Linked DNA regions of Mus musculus. The protein of the gene in region 2 interacts with the protein of the main gene of each other region in a pairwise test. Links are inferred from orthologs where the notes say so. Each region holds a gene or a part of one and is shown on either strand. Other genes may lie near its edges.

The links.
Region 1: the proteins of Wac (region 2) and Dydc1 interact in binary tests that used the Homo sapiens proteins (3 or more experiments, as listed by UniProt). The two-hybrid records come from large-scale screens. The link is inferred for Mus musculus from reciprocal best matches to the Homo sapiens genes WAC and DYDC1.
Region 3: the proteins of Wac (region 2) and Htt interact in binary tests that used the Homo sapiens proteins (3 or more experiments, as listed by UniProt). The link is inferred for Mus musculus from reciprocal best matches to the Homo sapiens genes WAC and HTT.
Region 4: the proteins of Wac (region 2) and Traf3ip1 interact in a two-hybrid assay, tested with the Homo sapiens proteins (2 studies listed by BioGRID and IntAct). The link is inferred for Mus musculus from reciprocal best matches to the Homo sapiens genes WAC and TRAF3IP1.
Region 5: the proteins of Wac (region 2) and Nfe2l2 interact in a two-hybrid assay, tested with the Homo sapiens proteins (2 studies listed by BioGRID and IntAct). The two-hybrid records come from large-scale screens. The link is inferred for Mus musculus from reciprocal best matches to the Homo sapiens genes WAC and NFE2L2.

Annotation. Positions count from the first base shown.
Region 1 is NC_000080.6:41,071,173-41,076,024, forward strand, and holds the start of Dydc1 (DPY30 domain-containing protein 1), read left to right. Parts: upstream 1-1,738; 5' UTR 1,739-1,866; intron 1,867-2,885; exon of another isoform or gene 2,886-3,030; intron 3,031-4,852. UniProt on the Homo sapiens protein: Functions as part of axonemal radial spoke complexes that play an important part in the motility of sperm and cilia. Plays a crucial role during acrosome biogenesis.
Region 2 is NC_000084.6:7,867,684-7,872,530, forward strand, and holds the start of Wac (WW domain-containing adapter protein with coiled-coil), read left to right. Parts: upstream 1-1,513; 5' UTR 1,514-1,891; coding exon 1,892-1,932; intron 1,933-2,009; exon of another isoform or gene 2,010-2,206; intron 2,207-2,307; coding exon 2,308-2,344; intron 2,345-3,847; coding exon of another isoform or gene 3,848-3,865; coding exon 3,866-4,061; intron 4,062-4,847.
Region 3 is NC_000071.6:34,760,212-34,764,853, forward strand, and holds the start of Htt (huntingtin), read left to right. Parts: upstream 1-1,528; 5' UTR 1,529-1,695; coding exon 1,696-1,898; intron 1,899-4,642.
Region 4 is NC_000067.6:91,493,047-91,497,781, forward strand, and holds the start of Traf3ip1 (TRAF3-interacting protein 1), read left to right. Parts: upstream 1-1,621; 5' UTR 1,622-1,719; coding exon 1,720-1,842; intron 1,843-4,735.
Region 5 is NC_000068.7:75,701,550-75,706,185, reverse strand, and holds the start of Nfe2l2 (nuclear factor erythroid 2-related factor 2), read left to right. Parts: upstream 1-1,522; 5' UTR 1,523-1,777; coding exon 1,778-1,822; intron 1,823-4,636.

The DNA of each region.
Region 1 (4,852 bases), on a different chromosome or scaffold from region 2:
GAGTGGCTGCTACAGGGCTTAAATATGACAAGCCCTCTGAGATACTACCTCTGGCATTTGTCACTGTCTTAGTCACGGTTTCTATTCCTGCACATAACATCATGGCCAAGTTGGAGAAGAAAGGGTTTTTTCAGCTTATACTTTCCACATTGCTGTTCATCACCAAAAGAAGTCAGGACTGGAACTAAGCAGGTCAGGAAGCAGGAGCTGATGCAGAGGCCATGGAGGGATGCTCTTTACTGGTTTGCTTCCCCTGGCTTGCTCAGCCTGCTCTCTTATAGAACCCAAGACTACCAGCCCAGAGATGGTCCCACCCACAATGGGCCCTCCCCACTTGATCACTAATTGAGAAAATGCCTTACAGCTAGATCTCATGGAGGCATTTCCTCAACTGAAGCTTCTTTCTCTGTGATAACTCCAGCCTGTGTCAAGCTGACACACAAAACCAGCCAGTACAGTCACATACTAAGTCCTGAGTAAATATGTCTGAGTGCTCTGATGTTGGGGGTAGGTGGGTAGAGGGAGGGCTCATTCGTTGTTGATCCATTAGTGTCCCTTCTTGCATTTATGAAAGCCTCTACCACTAAGCAATGCCATGCCCATAGTTTGCTTTTTCTTGCTCTGATAAACACCATGACCAATAGCGAACTGGGGGACAAAAGGATTTATCTGGTTTACAGATTACAGTCAGTCGTCATCAAGGAAAGCCAAGCCAGGAACTCAGTGCAAGAGCATGAAACAGTAACTATGACAGAAATGCTGCTTACAGGCTCGCTTTCCCTGGCTGACTCTGCTACCTTTTCCTTCCTTTCCTTTTCCCCTTTTCCTTTTCTTTTTTTTCTTTTTTTCCTTTTCCTTCCTTCCTTCCTTGCTTGACAGGGTTTCTATGTGTGGCCCTGGTTGTCCTGGAACTCACTCTGTAGACCAGGCTGGCCTCGAACTCAGAAATCTGCCTGCCTCTGCCTCCTGAGTGCTGGGATTAAAGGTGTGCACCACCACTGCCCGGCTTCAGCTACCTTTCTTACACAGCACAAGTCCACCTTCTCAGGGATGGGCACTCGCAGCTCATAGTGGGCATATGCCCATAATTAGCAATCAAGAAAACGCTTCACAGACATACATGCCCACAAGTCAGTCTGATGGAGGCAGTTCTTCATTTGAGATTTCCTCCTTCAAGGTATATCTAGGTTTGTGTCACGTTGACAAAAACTAACCAAGCACATCAGGGGAAAGTGCATAGGAGGGCCTGGCAGAGGGTGCCTTTGGGTAACCTGAAGTTGCTTGCGTTTGAGTTTGCTCTGAAAGGTGTGGAGTCTTAAAATTGCCAAGCCGACAACAAGCTTGCAGCTTTAATCCCCAGGGATCAAAGGAGTCTCCCCTGACTTTCAAAGATCTGCTGGTCCACAGGGCTCCTATCTAAGGGTTCCTATGCCTGCTAGGTTCCAAGTCTCTGTCCCGCTGTTTCTCCACAGTGCTTCCTCTCCCATAAATCTGGTTCTCCCATCTGCGTGCGTGCCCCATCCCCTACAGTGCGCACTCCAAGCTCAGGCTAGAGAACGCCACCCCTCCCACGCCCACTCCCACCCCCACTCCCACTGCGCGAATTCCCCTTTCATTTCTCTTTGCCTCCACTGATTGGGTAGCAATGGAACCTTAGCGCTACACTTGAGCGTGCTCTCGTTGCCAGGCAACGGGACGCGACTCACTGGCAGGTGGCCAGAACGTGCATCAGCTGCGTGGACCAAGGAGGCTGGGCCGTTTTCCTTCGAACCGGTTCTCTAGTGTCTCTGCAGAAGCAGTTGTCAAATTTTCACCTTGCGAGTCATAACCCGGAGGCGGAGGTCTCAACCCGGAGTCCGAGAGAGGGTTAGTTCCCCTTCTCCTCCCTCCTCTCTTCCGGTTTCTCCTCTTTCTCTTCCTCCTCCCATCTCCGGCCCACTAGCCACCCAATAGGAAAACTAACCTAAGTGTCTAGGTTGGTGGCTGCCTGATTGAAATTTGTTTTTAGACAAACAGGTTACTTTCCAGCACAAATATACTAGAAGACAATTATTCATTGTTTCTCAGAAATTCAAGTTGAATTAGGTCTGCTGTAGTTTTGAGTGCCGAATCCAGCACCTCTTCCCAGGCCCTGGCAGAGGACATCCTTCAGTGGCTCAAAGCAGCTGCTCCAGTTCAGAGGCAGGTGTTTCTGTGGGGACGGACTTTCTTTCTGTGGAGTTGAGTGCACACTGGTGTTTGTTGGGAAATAACATTTCTTAGGACAGAAGAGATGGCTATGAGTTTCCTCACATGACCAGGACATGTATGTTACAGAAATGACGGAGGGACCTCATGAAAACCCCACTGAGAATGCTAAGCAGCTGCCAGAAACCCCAGAAAGACCCTGGCCAAAATTCTAGATCAGAGGTCCCTCCTTGACAACCATTGTTCCTTTCTCACGTTTTATGATTTTGGAGCAGCAGAAAGAGTATCTTCCATGTTTTATGTAACTGAACTTCAAATAACATTGATATGTCCACATGGTGATTTTATCTCTATAAATAAATTTTCATAATGTTTTTCTCTTTGTGGTTAGGACACCAGTGCCAACCTAGTTGGAAATCAGCTCATTTGTGCCAGCTCCAGTCAGTTCCTAGGGCTACACTTACACATACATGTGTATATTCCTTTGGTAGCAGAAGCAATTGCTATGTCACCCTTTCCTCCTGCATTGTGACTCACTAGGAATCCACTCCTTATTTTAGAGAGCATCTCCATTCCCTTATATTGTCTCTGGATTCCATGGTATTGTATGTAATTGAACCTCTACCTGGACATTCAAGTGGCGTTTCAGTCTGACTATGGTAATAATGTACAAATACCATGTTCTCATGTCATTTCAGTCTTGAGTCTGCACCTTTGAGACAGGAGTCAAGAACTGCAATGGTGAACATATTCTGATCTTTTAATATCATTGTGTCCCAATTCTGGGCTTGGGTGGAATCATTTGTTTGGTCTGTTATTGTCCATCTGCAAATCCTATATGAGGTAAATAGAAATAGTCAATCCCCCAAAACTCATGCATCTGCCTTCATATCTGAAAAGACAGGGAAACAGCTGGGAGTGGGCATATATTTGCTCATGTGCCACCATGGAGAGACAGTGGTGCACACACACACATACACACACACACACACTCACATCCTCTCGAGTGTGCACATAACATACACAAATGAGCATGCGCACACATACTCACACATTTTATACACTTCTTCGGCAGCATGACAAGGGATGTAGGATCTACTTGAAGCAGGGGAAACTCCCTTGTACTGCTTGACAAAACTCTGGAGCCAGACATGATCTGTGGCTTGAAGGTGAGGAGGTATGTTCCAAGAGTAGAGGAAGGAAAGGATTATTGAGATGGGAAAGTATAGGGTGTGATATGTAGAATGGCAGGAATAAGAGCCCATAAGATGTCAGGGAAGAGCTTGAGGTGAACCTAAAGGGAAGTTGTGGTGGTTTGAACATGCTTGGCCTAGGGAGTGGCACTGTTAGGAGGTGTGGCCTTTGGGTTGTGTCACTGTAGGAGTGGGCTTTGAGAGCTTCCTCCTAGCTGCCTGAGGATGCCAGTTTTCTCCTGGAGGTCTTCAGATTAAGATGTAGAACTTTCAGCTCCTCCCTTGCCATGGCTGCCTGGATGCTGCCATGTTCCTGACATGATGATAATGGAGTGAACTTCTGAAAGTGTACAGCAGCCCAAATTAAATGTTGGCCTTTGTAAGAGTTGTCTTGATCATGGTGTTGATTCACAGCAATAGAAATACTGACTAATACAGAAGTTGATAACAGAGACTGGGGTATTGCTGTGATAAGCCTAACCATGTTTTCATTTGGAGGAATGTGGTTTTTGGAACTTTTGATTTGGAAAGCCATGGAATGCTTTAAGTGTGACTTAATGGTTCATCATAGTAGGAACATGGGAAACATTGGTACTGAGAGTGATTTGAACTATGGAGCTCTTTCTTATATATTGGTGACAAAGAGTCTGTCTGAGGCTCAGGTGAAAAGACTCAATTAATTGCACAAAGAAAGTCTCAGAAACACCCAGCATAGAAATCCTCTGGATTACTCTCATGAAGATTGTTTTGATCAAGCATAGCAAGACTAAAAGGAAAAGAAACACAAAACGTATGGTTCAAGTAATAAAGGGACACCAGGAAGTGCAATGGAACTAAATCCTGTGTTCAAGGATATTTAACAGATTAAGGGAAAGGTGACCTTGGGGTAAGATCCCACACAGCCATTGTTTATGTGTTTGCAGTTGAACAAGGAATATTTATGTCACGTTAGGTATTATTACCTGTTATTGTTCTCATTTGGACTTTTAATCTAGAATGAACTACAATCCAGAAATGGAGGGCACACCTGTGATCCATATCTTAAGGCTGGAAGATACAGGATTTTGATTCGGATCTTGATGTAGGATGACACATGCTCTGGATCCATGTCTTGAGGAACAGTGGCCATGAAAAGCTTATATCCAGGCATTGGGGAACACACCTTTAATCCCAGGAGACAGAGGAAGCAGATATCTGAGTTCAAGGCCAGTCTGCTACACAGCAAGTTCTAAGTAAAGAAAAGCTTGGGTCCAGGTGTGATGGTACATGTCTTTAATCCCAGAACTCAGGACACAGAGCCATGCAGATCTCTGAGTTGAAGTTCAGTTTATAGAGTAAGTTCCAGGAGAGCTAAGCTTAGGAGTTAGAAAACAAAATGCTGATGATAATATCATAGAACAAGAGAGGCATGTTCCAGGCCCAGGAAGCAGTAGAACTCGCCAGCTTCAGCCACATGGCTCTGACTCTAGAGT
Region 2 (4,847 bases):
ACTAATGAGGCAGACATTGTTGTCAGGTATGTCATTCTCACATCTGTGTACATTGGGTGCATGCTGATGTGGGGGTGACAAATGAATTTTACTGTGTAAGTTTGCAAACACAATATTGAGTATCACTCCTACATCTTGAACATTTCCTCCTTTAGCTCAGCCCTGTGTTACCTCACCACAAGGGAATAAGAATAATGGTGCCAGTCTTTAGAATTTCCGTGCAAGACGTAATATTTTTTTCCCCTCTTCCAACTTAGTGTTTGGGACTGGACCAAAGGACCCTTATAGGAGAGATCTGACTACCCCCATTAAGGGCATTTTAACTTTTTTTTGTGTTTAATTTGTGCTAAAAAATGTTACAAATGACCTATCCCTCTAGCCCTCCAGTCACTTCAGGCACCAACAACCTTTTTTCTTAGTTACTGACAGCTTCTGTGGGCGTTAAGCAGGGTTTTACTAGTTGCCATAATAATCAACTTAACATTTGACAAGTGGATCTGACAAGCCGACACTGTTAGTTTAAAAAATCTTTTCAGCTATGATTTCAAGGTCTCTTTCCGTATTACACTATTTAGGATTAATGTAACCTTTTGGATACCGAGTAGTCTTTTCAATTTTTTTTTTTAATCCTTATGTGTTTTACCTCTCTAGCCTGCTTACGTAGCAATTCTTTCTGTTAAACCCATGTTCCAGGAAATAAAAAGGCAGTGGACTGCCACCAAGAAAAGATTGTCACTGATAAGTTTCCTCCCCGTGAATCGCAAATAATTTATAGCAACCTCACTCACTACACCGCTCATTTTCTGTACTCCCGTACTCTGGAAAGAATTTCCTTCCACGGAGAGGAAGAACTAGGAGGGACACAGGAGTCGCCGTAGGAAGGCTCCGTGCGGCCGGGCACTTACGTGCCATGGCCAATGCCACAGGCGCGCGGTCGGCGCTGCTGGGTGGCAGCACCAGCCGCGGTTCTGGGTTCTCCCGGCCCGCCGAGTGTGACTTCCGTCGCGGCCCGCCGAGGCTCCGCGACCACCGTCCGGGCCGCCCAATTAGGGGCTTTCCGACCCCCGCACGGAGCCCGAGGGGCGGGGGACACGGCCGCCTCGCGGAGGGCACCCCGCCCCCGCCGCCGTAGCGCCTCTGGGCGCACGCGCAGCTCCCGCCGCTCCGCATTTAGTCCGAGATGGCGTCCCTCGCGCCCCACGGTTCTCTTCCCGAAGGTGGCTCCCACCCTGCGCAGCCCGGAGGCCCCGGGGCTCGCCTCACGCAGGCTCCGGAGCACGATTACCCCTAAAGTGGAACGGGAGTGGCCGGATTCGCGAGCGAGGAAAGCAGCAACCGGAAGGGCTTGACGGGTCGCGGGGCGAGGAGCCCAGGCCGCGGAGGAAGAGGAGGGCGGGAGCGAGCCGAGGTTTGTCGAAGGCGGCGTTCTCGAGCCTCGCGGGGCGGGGAGGAGGGGGTGTGGCGGAAACTGCCGAGCTTTCCCGAAGGCGGCTGCGTCCGAGTTGCCCGGATGTAGTTGGTGGAGCGGCGGCGGCTGTAGCAGCGGCAGGAGGCGGCGAGAAGGACCCGGCGGCGGCGGAGCAGGAGGAGGGAAGGTGCTGGAGGCGTTCGCTCTCCGCGGGGACCGGAACACGGCCTCTCACCCCCTCCCCCCGGCTCGCGCTGCCGCCCCGTAGTTGGCACCTCTGCCCCAGCCGGCCCTAAGCGGTGGTGACGGAGGGAGATGGCCCGGGACCGCCGGCGCCAGTAACGGGGAGGTGCCGCGAGCCGCCGAGGGTGCGCTGAGACCTGGTGCCGGGGCTGCCCGCCGCCCGCCCGCCGCCCGCGCGCCCGCCCGCCTGCCTCGCGGCCGCTCTCCCCCTCCCCGACACACACACACAGCCGGGCATTGATGGTAATGTATGCGAGGAAACAGCAGAGACTCAGTGATGGGTAAATCGTCTTTTCGTTTCGGGCCGGGCCGCGGCGGAGGGCGGGCGGACGGGCGGGCGGGCGGGCGTCCTTATCGGGAGCTGGCCGCGCCGCCATTTTTGTTGTTAACCCTGATCGGGATCGGTCGGAGGAGGCGCCGGGCCGGGCCGGGCCGGGCGGACGGGCTGGCGCCCTGGGGACCCGGAGGGCTGGACGAGCGGGCTGTGGCTGCGGCCTGAGTCCGAACCCGGGCCTCTGAGCCCGGGGAGCGTCCGCCGCGCGCGGATCCGCGCTGGTACGTTTGTCCGCCGGTCCGCGGGGAGGGGCGGCCGGGAGACCCGCTTTCTTCCTTTCCCGCGATGTCTCACAGGACGGTCCTTCTTTACTGTTTTTCAGCTGTCACGACCGGAGAGGGGACTCTCAGCCTTTCCAGGTACCAGCCGATCCTGGGTGGAGGGATTGGAGGGGCTGGAGGGGGAAGGGAGGGACTGCTACTCGAGCGCAGGCTTCAGAAGTCGCTACAGGCCCTTTGGTGCAACAAATCTGAAAGTAGCACCACTGGTCCGCTTAAAATTCAGTATTGGGTTTTATTAGCATTCTCCAAATGCATCTTGAGAGGTGACTAGAGGAAGCACAGGGGTTTGTTTTGCCTTTTGTTTTTTTGTTTGTTTGCCTGTTTGTTTTTAAGGGAAAAAAATACTCGGAAACAGGAAGACCTGGCTTGGCTTGAATGTGAAGGAGTCACTGAAGTGTAGTGATATTTGACTTCAGAGGCCCATTTATTTAATATTCTATCGAGGAGCCGAAAGATAAATGTGAGAGTTGTAAAAGTAGAGTAAAGGCTTGAGAGCAGTAACTTGAGTTACTCTCAGTAACAATACTCTTACCATTTTATTTATTTAGTTCAGATTATGCTATTTCAAAGAAAAGGTTTTGTTTTTGCTTCAGTTAATTTAAACCTTCCTTTACTTAGTAATTCATGCTAGTAGAAATGATTCTCTACTATTCCACTGAAGGTTTTGCGTGTAAAGTTTTAAAGGTTTGCAGAAATGTCTTCAGGATACTGTCTGAAGATAACAGAAGTAAATACTTTATGCCTCTAATCACCCTTAAAAGAGAAAATAGGAACAGATCTGTGTCTCCCTCAAGGTTCCGTGGTCCAGGCTTGCTTCCAGTTTTACTCCTGTCTAGTCTTCAGAATGCTGGTTACACGTGGGAGCCAGCACATTTCCAGCCTGACTCTTGTACAGGAGCTTCTGGGATGTCAGAATATTTGCATCTGTCAAACATTATTTCCTTCCCTCCCAGACTGCAACACTGGGTTCCTCTTCAGACACCTGCAGTGTAAAACCATTATTTTGAGGGCATTTAGAATTCTTCCTGTTTAGAAACACTGTTCATGTATCAGTTTGTTTTGGCACATCATGTTACATTTTAAAAACTAATTTATCCCTGAAAGAGCTTATAAATTAGGGACAGTGCTTTATTTGAATCAAAAAAAAAGAGGAAAAACTGTTGTCTTTTTGAAAATTGTGGTTATTAAAATATGCTTATTTATAGACATGCTTGGATGCATTGGTTGTAGAGGTTAAGTGGATAGTAATCTAAGCTCTCAAAAATTGATTTTAGTTTTGAAGAATTTTTTTTTCCTGGTAGGTCAGTGTGCCAAAATACTGTTTAAAAAAAGTTTACATGATCAGATAGGTTTCTTTTCTTTTCTCTTCTTTTCTTTTGTGAGTGTGTGTGAGTGTGTGTTTTGTGGTTGCATCTGTTATCAGGAGTTGCATAGGAAATCTGGAGCCTTTCCCTCTTCTCTGAGTAAGGGAAGTACTGAAAATGGAAATTCTGAATTTTGATGTAAGGGAACCTGACATAGCAAAATTTGTCATTTAAATTGGGAATTGAGTTTAAGTTTTCAATTTTTCTCTCTCTTTGGGGGGGTGATGTTTTACAGGCACTTAAGTATTCTTCAAAGAGTCACCCCAGTAGTGGTGATCACAGACATGAAAAGATGCGAGACGCCGCAGATCCTTCACCACCAAACAAAATGTTGCGGAGATCTAATAGTCCTGAAAACAAATACAGTGACAGCACAGGTCACAACAAGGCCAAAAACGTGCACACTCAGAGAGTTAGAGAAAGGGACGGTGGTAAGTAGCTCTCGGGCTAAACTGTCATGTGTGTGTCCTGGGAGAGTTAGAGAAAACAGTGCAGTCAGCACATTACCATGTACTAGTATTATCACTTTGAATCCATTTTTTGTTTGTTTTTTAATTCAGCAGGCACTATGGGAAAATGGTATCAGCATGAACACACAGTGTTTGATAGTGCAGTTACAAATACAGGCTTCTAAATGGTGACTAGTGATTGGAGAGTTCCTGAACAGTTTCCCAAGAAAGGAACTTTTAAGGTTTTAAGAATTTTGGTTTTAGTTTGAAATCATTGGTCCTTTAGATTATTTCCTAAGGTGTTCAAGTTAAACACCCCTAAGGTGTTTAAGTGTATAACACTTAAAGAAGAGGTTTGTCAAGTTAGCTACCACCACTAAAAGTTTTTATTTTAACTTAGGAAATTAGTTTTTGTTGTAACCATTTAAAATTTTATATTTCATTTCTCTCTCACCGGAGGGTTCTCTTGATGTTTAGATGAAACAGTCAGTCTTTTTTTAATTTTATGCCTTTTGTTTTGAGGCTGGCCTCAGATGACCTATACAGCTGAGGAAGATTAAGTTAGCCTTATTTTTTTACAGTTCTGATATCTTGTCACCTGTTCACAAACTGGTGGGGACTGGGAATAAGTGCATTCTCAGGCTGACTTTGCTTATAGCTTATGAATGTAACATTTACTTATAAAGCTTCCATTGCGGGATAAAATAATTTCATGAAGATAATTAAGAGCTGTATATTTTTCTTTGACAATAAGACCTCATATTGTTT
Region 3 (4,642 bases), on a different chromosome or scaffold from region 2:
GGGACATAGAATCTAAAGGCTGTTTCTCTGCTCTCCTTCCCAGTTTAACAGCGGCGGGCTTATACCCCTACAGTAACAGTGTTGGTTTCTGTATACTTGGCCATTTCGAGAAAATGGAGTGCCTTATGGCCATGGAATAGGGCATTTGATTCTTACAGGTAGCCTGAAGCTTCATTGGGTTTCTCACTGCATGGATCACCTCCAGACAGCTTTTTCTGAAGCCGGAACGGTTTTGTTTGTTTGTTTGAGACAGGGTTTCTATGTAGCTCTGGCTGTCCTGGAACTCACTTTGTAGAACAGGCTGACCTATAACTCAGAGATCTGCCTGCCTCTGCCTCCAGACTGCTGAGATTAAAGGTGTGTTCTATCACTGCTTGGCTTTTTCCTTTTCCTTTTTCTTTTGAGACAAGTTCTGATACAGCCCATGCTGACTTGAATTCACTATGAAGCCAAGGAAAACCTGGAACTCCTGATCCTCGTTCTACCTGCAGAGTACATGATTACCACCCCTGGTTTATAAAATGCAGGGATTGAACTCAGAGCTTCGTGCATGCTACTCAAAAAGCATTCTACAAGTGCTGTGATTAAAGGCATGCACCACCATGCCCGGTTGAAGCCAACACTTTTTGCTGGGCAGACTGCAGGGGCAGCTTGGGTGTATCCACACCATTTTCAGCTTCCTGCTTTAATTGCTCACCTTTGGGAGATGGAGGCTCTAGAGACAAGGACTTCAGCGCTGGTGGCAATGAGACCCCTTGTAGGTCCTGGCTGGTTGCCACAGCACTTTCCAGGGTCCGTGTCTCAATGTAGAGTGTGTGACCAAAGTTGCATGAAACACAGCCTTTCTTTGGACAGTAACTACTGCTGCCTGCCTGAAACCCTTTCTCAGCCTTCGCTGCCTGCTTGAAACCCTTTCTCAGCCTTCTCTACTGCAGACACTTCTGGGGCTTCGGGGTCCACGGATCATAAAGGGTTCTTTGGTCCTGAATACAGGTCACTCTGGTTCCCTTCTCATTGCAGGGAGCTCCCAGCACGCTGCGTTCGGGAAGCTCAGGCCACCACCTGGCTTGTGGAAGAGAGAGCTGCTTTGGGTTTCGGGTTCCGAGCTCCACAATCGCTTTCCCGGTGACTCCAGGTGTAGGGTGGCTTTACGCAGGAAAATTTCTTCGCTGTCATTCCCCTTTCCAACCTTTTCTTCCTTCCGGGTCTCCCCAACTCCTCTGCCCACCTCCTCACTTCTTTTCTATCGCTGGTGCCAGGGAGCCGCCCTAAAGCCCACTCTCCGCTCAGCTCCGTCCCTCATCTAGCAGCCCGCCCCGCCCACCTCATCCTCTTGCTTGGCCCTCTTCACTAAGGGGGGCTGGCTTTTGCGGGAAGGGGCGGGGCCACATCGGCGGGGCGGAGAGTCTTAAACTAGCAGAGGCCCCGCAGGCCTGCGTCCTGACTTCGGGAAAGAGGACGACGCATCCGCCTGTCAATTCTGCGGGTCTGGCGTGGCCTCGTCTCCGCCGGCATGACGTCACGGGACGCACTCGCCGCGAGGGTTGCCGGGACGGGCCCAAGATGGCTGAGCGCCTTGGTTCCGCTTCTGCCTGCCGCGCAGAGCCCCATTCATTGCCTTGCTGCTAAGTGGCGCCGCGTAGTGCCAGTAGGCTCCAAGTCTTCAGGGTCTGTCCCATCGGGCAGGAAGCCGTCATGGCAACCCTGGAAAAGCTGATGAAGGCTTTCGAGTCGCTCAAGTCGTTTCAGCAGCAACAGCAGCAGCAGCCACCGCCGCAGGCGCCGCCGCCACCGCCGCCGCCGCCTCCGCCTCAACCCCCTCAGCCGCCGCCTCAGGGGCAGCCGCCGCCGCCACCACCGCCGCTGCCAGGTCCGGCAGAGGAACCGCTGCACCGACCGTGAGTCCGGGCGCCGCAGCTCCCGCCCGGGCCCCGCGCCCCTGGCCTGCGTGCTGGGCATGGCCAACACTGTTCCCTGTCCAGAGGGTCGCGGTACCTCCCTGAGGCCAGGCTTTCCCGGCCCGGGCCCTCGTCTTGCGGGGTCTCTGGCCTCCCTCAGAGGAGACAGAGCCGGGTCAGGCCAGCCAGGGACTCGCTGAGGGGCGTCACGACTCCAGTGCCTTCGCCGTTCCCAGTTTGCGAAGTTAGGGAACGAACTTGTTTCTCTCTTCTGGAGAAACTGGGGCGGTGGCGCACATGACTGTTGTGAAGAGAACTTGGAGAGGCAGAGATCTCTAGGGTTACCTCCTCATCAGGCCTAAGAGCTGGGAGTGCAGGACAGCGTGAGAGATGTGCGGGTAGTGGATGACATAATGCTTTTAGGAGGTCTCGGCGGGAGTGCTGAGGGCGGGGGAGTGTGAACGCATCCAATGGGATATTCTTTTTCCAAGTGACACTTGAAGCAGCCTGTGACTCGAGGCACTTCGTACTCTCCTGGCGTTTCATTTAGTTTGTGGTGTAGTGTAGTTAAACCAGGTTTTAAGCATAGCCAGAGAGGTGTGCTTCTGTGTGTCTGCAGGCAGTTGGATGAGTTGTATTTGTCAAGTACATGGTGAGTTACTTAGGTGTGATTATTAATAAAAAACTATATGTGTGCATATATATGAAAGAGTCGACTTATACTTAACTGCCTATCGATTTTTTGTTCTATATAAAACGGATACATTGGTGGTGCTCAGTTTTCACCGGGGAATGAATTTTACTAGTGTTGCAGACAGGCTTGTTTTAGAACATAGGCCACTCTGACTCTGACTTTGTGCCAGTAAAAGTTCCTGTTTAGTTCTTTGCTGACATCTTATAGATCTTTGGAAGCTAGCTGCTTGTGACTGGAGAGAATATTGAAACAGAAGAGAGACCATGAGTCACAGTGCTCTAAGAGAAAAGAGACGCTCAAAACATTTCCTGGAAATCCATGCTGAGTGTTGAGCCCTGTGCTCTCTTGCAGCTCAGTCCTTTCTCTCAACTCTGGGCATTTTATTTCTAATCTGGATTTGTATAATTAATAAGGAGAACTTTTGGGAACAACCTACTAAAGAATGTCATCATTAAAACTCACTTAGAAAATAAGTGTTCTGGTGATATCATTGAGCTATGTTCCCAGTCCTGAGAGTTTGTTTTTTTTTTTTTTTTTAAATAAAGATTTGGGGAGAAAAGGTGGCTTACTTGATAGAACAAAATATAGGAATAAAATTTCCTTCTATAAGGTGAAAAGTGTGAATAGAAAACTTCTTATCCTCTAGATAAGTAGTTTCTTTTTGCTTTTGAGAGTCTCACTATGTAACTCTTGACCTGAACTCAGAGAGATCCATCCTCCTGCCTCTGCCTCCTCTCTCTGGGATTAAAGGCATGTGGCACCATGCTGGGCTGTCCAAGTATGCCACAGACCCTCTAGGTCCCTGGTCTTCGAGGAACGGGATTTCTTAGGCAGATGGGTAAGGAGTCGGATGAAAATGACAATCAGCCACACACAAGAGAGGTGTTGAATCTGAATGTAATGTTCTGGTTGAGCTTCAGACTTATATAACAACGAATTATCAGAGGATACAAATCACAAAAAGACAAGATACACTGAAATTCACCAGTTACAGCAGAAAGGAATTTGCAGGGACTAATTAAATGTTTACATTAGGGATAACAAGCCCTGCCTAGGATCAGCCTAATGCCAGGCAAGAATTTCACACTTTAAGGTTAAAAGCATCAGGGGGTTGTTAACTCTTGACAGGCCTTAAGAGTAATGTGCTATCACTGAGCTCTAAATTCTTAGGTCTAGTAAAACTTATCCTGTCTGGAGAGTTCCCCCTTATCAGGGTAGTATATCAACTTATACTTGACATGGAATGAAGCCTGTAGTAAAACATTTCTATCTCAGTGAGACTTTTAGTCTCTATCTGTAAACAGCTGAGTAAAATGGCAAGTGCTTAATTGTTTACTGAATGGGTTAAGCTCCTTGCTGCTATCTGGAATCTAAGAACACTGGGGAAAGGCTTTAGCTATGTTAGAATACAATATTAAAAGGCATTTACTATAAGGTGATGCTTAATAGAGTGCACGTGAATCTATACACTAGATTAATGTGGTGGAAATTTGAATATAATGGGTTAGGGAAAGAGATGCCATAACTCTGGGAGGAAAATTTCCCTGGACTCTTATCCTCGTGAAACAGCTTCCAGGCTTTTCGCCTGACAAACCGATCCAAACTGGAGAGTTGGCTTTCGCCAGAATATCCAGGAGGAGAGTCCTAGAAATTCATTTCTCATGAGCAGCTTTTTGGCATTTTTGCCTCACAAGCTGACTCCACCAGAGTACCCTGACACAAGTATTGTCTAGTTATTTTGATTATTACCATGACTCTGCCTCTGGGTGAGAGGAATTGTGGAAGTTTACATATTCCCCATATCTTCTATAAACCTCTGTGTGTGTGTGTGTGTGTGTGTGTGTGTGTGTGTGTGTGTGTATGAGGGAGAGAGAGGGAGAGAGAGAGAGGGAGGGAGGAAGAGAGAGAGAGAGATTGTTCTGTGCCTGCTTCGAACACAAATTAGTTTGCAAAAGTAATTCATTAACATGATACAGTCCCAAAGATAAAAATGGTTAAATAATGAAAACATCTCCCTCCCCATTTTCCTAACTTTGTACCCAGGAGCAAG
Region 4 (4,735 bases), on a different chromosome or scaffold from region 2:
CTCTTTCCATTCTTACTCAGCTACCTTCTTCTGTGAATGACTCTTTCCTGCTCTCTCCCTCATCTCAGGGGGTGATGTAGGCTAGTAGCCCCTACTCTGCTGACTGCCCCCCAAGACTGATGGCTCCATGCTGGCCTCTGCATCCTTCCTCTGGGGAGGTCTGGGTTCCAGATATCTTTCTTGAAGCCAGGAATTGCTTATATCTTCTGGGACCCGCTTCGTTGGTGACCAGAATGTTGTCCACTGAAGAATGTCTTTCTTCAGTATGGGGGTGGGTAGGCTGAACCAAAGGCAGGGGTGAGACTCTGGAAGATAGAACTATACTCTTCAAAGTTACCTCCCCTAGGTCAGTCCCCAGAGGGTTGGTTGACAATACTTGCTGTCCTGGATCTTCTAAAAAACTTTGATACCCAGATAGACTGAAGATCTTCTGGTTGGTTAGCCCTCCTAAAGGCAGCCAAAACTGTACTCTGGCCTTCGTGTGTGTGTGTGTGTGTGTGTGTGTGTGTGTGTGTGTGTGTGTGTGTTCTTGGATCCACTTACTGTTCTGCCCTCCTCCACAAGCTGTGAGAGGATAAAGCATCATCTTCGCTTTGTTGTATGGCATAGGCTCCAGGTCCTCAGTAGAATTCCCAAGGTCAGAGGTATCTTCCAAGTAAAACCCTGAGTTCCTACCACCTGGTCCAGCATCACAAACAAGCCAGTTGCTGGCTCCAGCTTTCATTCCACACCTACATCACGATTCTGCTCAGAGTGAACTTTCTAGGGTAGGAGCTAGGTGGGTATGTTCTTAGGGGCGGTGTTTAGAGACAGGACTTCTGCTCTCTGAATTCTGCTCTCTGAACTCCCCCAGAGACCAACTCCAGCTGGGGCTCAGAGTGAGAGGGCTCTTAAAGAAGATTCTGGCTCTCGGGGTGTAGCCATGGTAGAGAGATCAGGGGCAATGTTCTAGTTGGGGTTCTGCCAGTTTGGGCAGAGGAGCTCCAGACCTCAGGCACAGCAGCAACACCTGATCCAGTAGAAGCATCTCCTGCATAGCCTCGGGTGGTGGTGAGGGTGAGGTGGGAAGTAAGTGTGTGTGTGTGTGTGTGTGTGTGTGTGTGTGTAGCAGAAAGCTGCAGCATCCTAGCCTAAGGGCCTAGCTCCTTCACAGTTTTGTGCCCGCTCTGGTGAACCAAGAGCACAGAAAATGTGGAAGGACACAACCCTTCCCCTTGGCACCATCTTAAAGATTACCTAAGGCAGGGGATGCTGGGCAGGGAACAGGAATGAAGGGATGAAAGGAGTCAAGTCCTTTTCCAAGTTTATGTGAAGTGTTATTTTCCTGGTGGGTGTTACTGTAAATGCTCTCCTTAGAAATATCAAATGGTCGCTCTTTTCTCACTCAGAATGCCAGGTCTCTGGGCAGTGCTGTGCAGCGCCCTATGGTGCGCCGGGTTGGCGGAGCAGGCTCAGGTTCAAGCAGCCACAGAGGCGGAGCGCGTGTGTCCTCCAGAGCAGCTAGAGAGGCCGGAGGGGATGGGCGGGGCCGGGCGCGCGTCCGTTGCCAAGGCCGCGCGGCCCTAGAGACCGGGTGCTGGTGGCACGCGCAAGCGCGGTGGCGAGCTGCGGTGCACTGTGGGATGGGAGACCGGCGCGCCGGGACGGCGGGCATCTCGGGGCACCGGGCAGAGGCGCGGCGCGCGAGGAGGGGCGCGAGCGGTCGCGGGCGGCAGCGCCATGAACGCCGCAGTGGTGCGGCGGACGCAGGAGGCTCTGGGCAAGGTGATCCGGAGGCCGCCGCTCACCGAGAAGCTGCTCAACAAGCCACCGTTCCGCTACCTGCACGACATCATCACCGAGGTAGGCGCGGGCTGGTGCGCGTCAGGTTGAGGTGGGGTGAGGGTAGGGGTAGAGTGCGGAACGGGTTAAGGGTCCGGGTAGTGGCGGGACGGGTTGAGGGTTGGGGTAACGGTGTTGAAGGTTATGGTTAAGTGCGGGACCGAGCGAGTGTCGGAGTGAGGGTCCGGGTAGGGTGAGAGTCGAGGTAGGATGCGCGTCTGAGTAGGATTCGTTTCGGGGTGAGAGTCAGAATTAGGGCCGGATCAAGGCGAGTGACCAGGTAGCGTGAGGATCGCGTTGAGGGACCGGGTAGTGTGAGGGGCGTTGTAGGATGCCAATCAGGGTTTGGGTCGAAATGAGGATTAGTCTCAGATGAAGGTGAGGATCAGGGTCAATGGTAAGGTCTGTGTGGCTCCGAGTGCTGATTGGATTGAGAGTGCGTTGAGGGGTGGAGGTGCAGGTCCAGGTCCAGGTGAGGGTCAGGGTTAGGTTCCAGTTGGAGTCAGGGTAGAGTAGCGGGTGCTGGTCTAGTGGTTTGGGTGGAGATAGAAGGCCCGGGTCAGAGTCTAGGTCTGTGGGTTAGGGTGCTGGAGCCAGAAGGTGAGGCTGAGAGGAGGTAGAGGCCCGGGCTGACATCGGTTTATTGAGTGTGAGCCTCGGGACAGGGTCTAGGCTCAGGGTCAAGTTGCTGTTAGGAGCTGGAGGTATGTTGGGGCTCTGGAATTGGGCTGTGCTTATACTTGAGGCCTGGGTAGGGTGCAGGTCCTTGTCTGGGACCTTCTGAGCATTCAGTGGTGCCTTCCATGTTAGGTTCCCAGGCCCACTAGGTCTTGGGACCTGCCTTACTTTACTTCTCCCAACCTGCAGCACTTACCATTATGTCTCTTTAGAGCTTGTCTTCTATTTGTTAGTGAGTCTCCAGGAAGCTGCATTGGATGAGGTACATAACATTGTACAACAGTTACAATTGTGTGGAGTCTGTCTGGGCTCTTGGTAACCCCAAGAGTGTCACTGCAGGGGGTACACAGAATGGGCATGGTACTCCAGAAGGTGCTGTGGAACTTGGGGTATGGTTGGGACTTAGAAGTCCAGAGCTCAAGGTCTCTCCCAGTGTTGACCCTCAGACTTTCTCGTCTCAGTAGGTTGAGCACTGTAGTCTACCCTTCTCGTTACTCATTTGGCCCTCCTACCTTAGCTTGTAATAGGTACTGTCTCGGAACATGGCCCTGTCTGTTAATCTTACATGTGTCCAGAAATGCTCAGGAATCCACCCACATCCCAAGGTGCTCTGCCGCCTGGTAGTCTCCTCTCCCAGTCTGTGAGGCGTTTGTAGCCTATCCTGGAAGGTCTGAGGAAGGGACTGGTGGTGTGGAGAGCCCTGGGAAGCAGGCAGTTGCCACTCTTCAACAGTGAAGGAGTCAAGAAGACTCAGGCATCATGGCACCGGCCTATCACAGTGGAGACTGCTAGGCCTGTGTTTTTATTCTGTTAGTACCCTCAGCCCATGGCTTACGGGGAGTGCTACTCAGCCTCAGATCACTCAGGAACGGAGTGGGGCTTATGGGAGGGAAGAGGAAAGAAGTGGGAGATGACTGTTGACAGGTAGACAGGTGAGGAGTGAGGGCTGCTTTTCTTTTAGACTTTACTGGATCCAGTGGTGAAGCCGGTCTGTTTTGGTATGAAGGTACGTACATTAGCTGTCACCTCCTTGATAAGGAAGGCTGTCAGAGTTGATGTACTTGGAAGTTTTTTCAGAGCAGAGGTAGAGAGCCTCCCTGAAGGTTCTTTACTGTCCCTGAATACTGCATTCAAGTCTCTTCCATGAGGTAGCTACAGCTGTTTCTTCATTAAGCTGACATTCAGACACAAATGTCTCTTGTCACAGTTGCTGCTCACAATTTAAACTGCCAGTGTCTTGGGGAAACCTGAGCAAAGTCAGTTTCAGGAGTGTTAGATTGGGATGCTCTGGTGGTCTGTGTGCCAGCCAGCTGTCTCCTAAAAAAAAAGCCCAGCCCAGCAATATGTTTCTCCTGAAGTTTGTTGTGAGATGGACTCTTCTAGATTAATTAATGACTAGAACGATGTTGCCAAAGTAATTGTAGCCCCATCCCAGAGGAGTGACATTCACATGGGGATGTCTTGCTGCTGATGTTTTTAAAGCCTGCCTCCTGTACCCATGGTAACATGTTACTATGTACCACAAGTCTGGTCATATGAGTCCTCTCCAAGCACCACATTTACATTCTTGGTGTTTTTTTTTTTTTTTTTTTTTCCTGTTACCCGTCTTACTGATTTTTTAGCAATATGTACTTTTGAGAATCCAGGACCCTGGCTGGATGTAGGGTCATAGAGGAACAGAAAATTATTGTCCTTCTGTAGGGGTAACTAGGGCTACAGGTTACGTGTGGGAGGAGGCACTGTGGGAAGAGAACAAATATGATTGGATGGGGAACACTCCATTATGGTAGAAATGAGGGACTCTTTTGGAACTCCTGGTTTCAGATACCCAGGCTAAGTAGCTCCTTTTCTTTCTGGAGTCCGTTCTCCTGGCTTGGTCTGAGTGCACTGGGGAAGGGTTGTGTGGTCAGGCCCTCTGCTAGATAAAAGCTGTTTGTGTCTCCTTGGAGTGCCTCGGCCTCTGGTCCCAAGTTGCTGCAAAGGGACTGAAGTCAGGCCATCGTGGCCCCAGGTTCAGGCTCCCACCACCCTACGTGGCTTTCATCCCTGTTGGCCTGGACTTGCTGGTGGTTTTCTTTTGTTTGGTGTGTGCTTCCCAGCTCTTCCCTGCCAGTCTCTGGCCTCAGTGGGGTGCTGTTCCAGCATCTCTTGACCCTGCCTCCCTTACTGTGAACCTCCTAGCACCTGCTCAGTGATGATAGTCTTTGCTGTCTCATAGCTGGCTGTTCTCTGAAGC
Region 5 (4,636 bases), on a different chromosome or scaffold from region 2:
TGAATCTCTAACTGACCCCAGGCCCATAATAGGGTAGTGGTTTTTAAAATACATTTCAAGCCAGGCAGTGGTGGCGCAAACCTTTAGCCCCAGCACTTGGGAGGCAGAGGCAGGCAGATTTCTGAGTTCTAGGCCAGCCTGGTCTACAGAGTGAGTGTCAGGACAGCCAGGGCTACACAGAAAAACCCTGTCTTAAAAAACCAAAAAAAAAAAAAAAAATTCAAAAGAAGATATTTGTGTTCAAACATACTTAAAACAACAAAGAGAAAGATAAAAATACTCTGGGTTTTCAACTATTAACACATTAAAACATCCCTCGATTTTTTTTCTAAGCCCATATAACTATTTTAGAAATTGGATTTTTTTTCGGGGGCAGTTAAAGAAGTATGTTTGGGAATGAACGTTGTGAAAACAGTCACTACCACCACCACCACCACCAAACCCAAGTGGCAGAGTCTATGGTACAGTTCTCAGCCTGTGGAGAGCCACCCCAAGCATCTCAGATATTTTGCACATCCGATACTTACATTACAATTTATAGCAACAAAATTAGTTATGAAGTAGCAGCAAAAATACTTTTCTAGTTGGAGGTCACCACAACACGAACTATATTAAAGGGTCGCTGCATTACGACGGTTGAGAAACGCTGCTCTAAAAACAGCTTGAGAGGTGGGGCCTTATGAGATCATACCTCAAAATTCCCAAATAGAGTAAGTACGTGTAAAGGAACCCTGAGAGTCTTAGAATCCACTTCGGTGATTCTGTTAGAGCTGTGCCCGCTTGCTGGGCTCTGGGTGGATGAAGTGATACTGAGTGACCGCTTGGGCCCCGAGCCCAGGGCACGTGGGAGAAGTGGAGGGCCTTCGAGTAAGCGAGCACGAGTTTGCAGCGTGGACTCATCCATCTCCCTGGGGCAGAGGTGTTTGAGCACCAGCAACTGAATGGGACCTGGGGCCAGAGGGCAGTTGGCCTCTTGCAAAGTCCGGGTCCCAGCTCAGAGCCCTAACCCCGAAACTGGCGCCACAGTCAGCCGGTGGAGCGAGATAAAGCGGGCAAGGTTCTGCAGGTCCAAATCAGGGAGTGGCAGCTCCGATAGCAGCGCACGGGCCGGGGCTCCCGGTGTGCTTGCACCAACTGTTTAAACTGCTTCAAAGAGCCAGGGCTGGAGCGACCTTCGGCAAACAGCTGCTAATCTCTAGCAAGGGGGTGCTGTCCTACAGAGGACTGGGGGGGCCGAAGGCCTCCTGCTCGCGCTCCGCCCCCCGTGCGACTTCAGCCCACCTGACTCCGCCATGCCCCGGACAGCGAGAGGAGGATCAACAGTGGGGGGTCGAGGGGAACGCGGGAACTCCGGCCGGAAGCACTCAGGTCCATGCCCCGCCCTCGGGCTCTTGCTCCTTCCACTGGCCCCCGTCTTGTCCCCCCCTCCCCTTGCCCCGCCCTAGGCCTTTGCGGGGGGCCCTCGGGTCCTTGCCCTGCCCCTGTACGCGATTCCAAGCTCTTGCCCCGCCCCTTACCCCGCCTCCATGCCCTTGTCCTGCCTCTGGCCCTTGCCTCTTGCCCTAGCCTTTTCTCCGCCTCTAAGTTCTTGTCCCGTCCCTAGGTCCTTGTTCCGCCCCCAGGGGGCGGGGGCGGGGCGGACTAAGGCTGGCCTGCCACTCCAGCGAGCAGGCTATCTCCTAGTTCTCCGCTGCTCGGACTAGCCATTGCCGCCGCCTCACCTCTGCTGCAAGTAGCCTCGCCGTCGGGGAGCCCTACCACAGCGTCCGCCCTCAGCATGATGGACTTGGAGTTGCCACCGCCAGGACTACAGTCCCAGCAGGTGCTGCCCCAACCTTCGGGCCCCTGGGCTGTGCCAAGAAGCCGGCAGGAGCTCGAGGGGATAGTGGCTCCGGGAGGGAGGGACAGTCTGAGCCAGGACTACGACGGCAGGGCCTGGGAACTGCCCCGCCGAGCTGGGAGGGCAACGGAGGATGTTGGGGCCGCGACGAGAGTGGGGTCCGAGCCTGAGGTCTCCAGGGGCGGCGAGGTTGGGGTGTGGAGGAAGCTCTGACTTCGTGGGGCCAGGCAGAGACACCACCACCTCGCTGGGTGGGAGGCGCAGAGGCGGGAGGGGGGTGGATGCTGGCGGTCTAAACCGGCGCCGCCCGGCCTTTTCCGGGGCAGCGTAGTTTCCCTGATTCGGTGCCGGTAAAAATGTGCCTAGTCACGGGGCCGCGCTCGGGGGAGCTGAGGTCTCTCCTCGGCGTCCGCCCGAAGCCCTCCCCAACCCCCGTTCTACGACTTGGTGAGCTCGGCCGTCTACGGCCTCAGCCCGAGAGCTGGTCTGTAAGATCACGCCTGTCCGTCTTGATCCAGAAAAGCCCAGCCCTCCGGGGGCGGAGGAGAAAGTCACCGGGTGGCCCTCGTGCTCTGGCGCCCCGACGGGCGGCCTGCCGGCAGGGCTCCGCACGCTCCTTCAGCCTGGGAACCCGGGAATGGCCTCGCGCCGGGCGCAAGGACGTGCAGACCTGGGCGGCGGGCTCCGAGGTCCGAGTGGGCCCCATGCTGGGCTGTGTGTTCTGAGTATGGTGACCCGCGGGGCCCCACGTAGTGTGCGAGGCTGTGGCTTCTGGCTGGCTTACATCGGCCAGTTGGCAGTCACAGAGGCCCTCGGTTGGCCCTTTCCTGCTCTATAGCGTGCAAACCTCGCTGCTCTGGGGCCAAGGGACAAGTTGGAGCTGTTGATCAGTTGCGCAATTGTTATTTTCCCCTGGGCGGCTTTGTCTTTGGATTTAGCATTACAGAGTTGTAATACCAAAATGTATAAGGCAGGATATTCTGGTCCTTGCCGTCAAGGGTAAGAGTAATAGATTAGAATTTGTTGCTTTTTATACTGTTGCAGAAGTTTTGCTTTTAGACATTTATTTATTATCCCTCGCTTGTGTCCTTAATACATTTTTCTTTGCTGTTTGAGATTCTGCCTCAATTTTCTTAGCATGTTGCGCACTTTGAAGACAGCGAATGGGACGCTTGCGTTTCATAACACTTTCTTGCTAAGTTTTGAAGATTGTTATGTAAGTGAAAACCAGTTTCTGGTTATACTTCAGGCAGTTTTAAAGAAGTAAATGCTTATGTTGGCACACACGCGCGCACACACACACACAAAAGAGTCGGAATTGGATTTTTAGGAAAAGAAACCATTTAACTCCAGGGAATGTATAACTCGGTAAAGAGTAAGTTAGTTTAAATGTAAAGCTTTCGGCTGACCTGGAAGGTCCTGGTGTCAGTTTTTAAGTTACTGACAGTGCATTAATTCTACCCCTCCCTTGAACTTGGCCCCGAAATGATTGGGGTTGTAGCCTGGTTTTCATTAGGATGAATAAGTAAACTGTATTTTCTGATTTCTGCTCTTCATGAGTAATCAGAAGGAATGCTTCCTGGCCACAGGATACACGGTGCAAATGAACTTTGACTGTAAAGTTTTTTTTTTTCTCTTTCCTGTGTAGAATAACATTTCATTTACAAAAATGGCAGCTGTGCTGCTTTCTTTCTCTGCCGTGTGAAAGCTTTGTTAGCCGGACATTTCTAGTTCTTTCCAGACATTGATTTAAATATTTGAAGACCTTGAAGAAATCATTTAAGATCATAATTCAGCTAAAAAGCATTGTTTGATAGTCCAGAAGGATTTGAATTGAGTTACAGATTTAAAGACATGGTGAGAGTGATTCAGCTGTGGCACTGTAGCATTTTGTTTTAACAGTGCTCATGGTTAGTAGACTCCATGGTTCTTCAGCACCGGGTTGCGGGGGTGGGCATCCATTACTTTCCCACTGGTGTCTAGGAAAGATAAAATACTTTGTTGAAGGCAAGAGATGAAGTTGATCTTGAATAAGACATATGAGATTATTTTTAAAGACACATTCGAGATTGGCCTCTCCAGAATGAAGGGAGAGAGAACAACTTAAGAAAAACTTGACTTTCTAGATAGGTGACACATCTCTGAATCTCTGAGACACTACAGAAAAGCCATGTGTAGGTGGATAAACACAGCTACATCAGTCTCTCTGCCTTAGAAATAACTAGGACCACTTTGGAATTCCATTTGTACTAACAGCGGTCCTTACACAATGCTGAGGAACAACCCTCTTTTAGAACTGACAGGAAGCGTTGAAAGCCAGATATACATTTATTTTTACTTAGGATGCGTCACGCTCAGCAAAGCTACAGGAAAAGGGAACACTTGGGTAGTTACCCTTATTTCTAGACCTTTCCTCGGTCATGATCCAGCATATTTAAAAGATTTTCATAAATACATCATTCTTAATTTTGTCTTGAACCAGGGTTAGCTTGAAGATGCAGGGAAAACTAAGAATTTCCGTGCTAGAGACTTGTTAAGGTTAGTGGACACTCCCTTGCAAGTCAAACAATAGTATAATTGCCTCGGATGTATAATTTCTCAATAACCCCACCACCACCCAAAGACTCTTTATCCTCCCTTTCCAGGTTAGGAGAGAAGCACGCAGAGAGGCCAGTACTCCTCCAGGTGACCCAACTGTTTTGTATTATAGATAGAATTCAAATTTAGCCTAACTCCAAGGGCTTTGAGTCTTTACTTCCAAACTGGACCAAAGGACATTTAAAGCAGAACCACAAA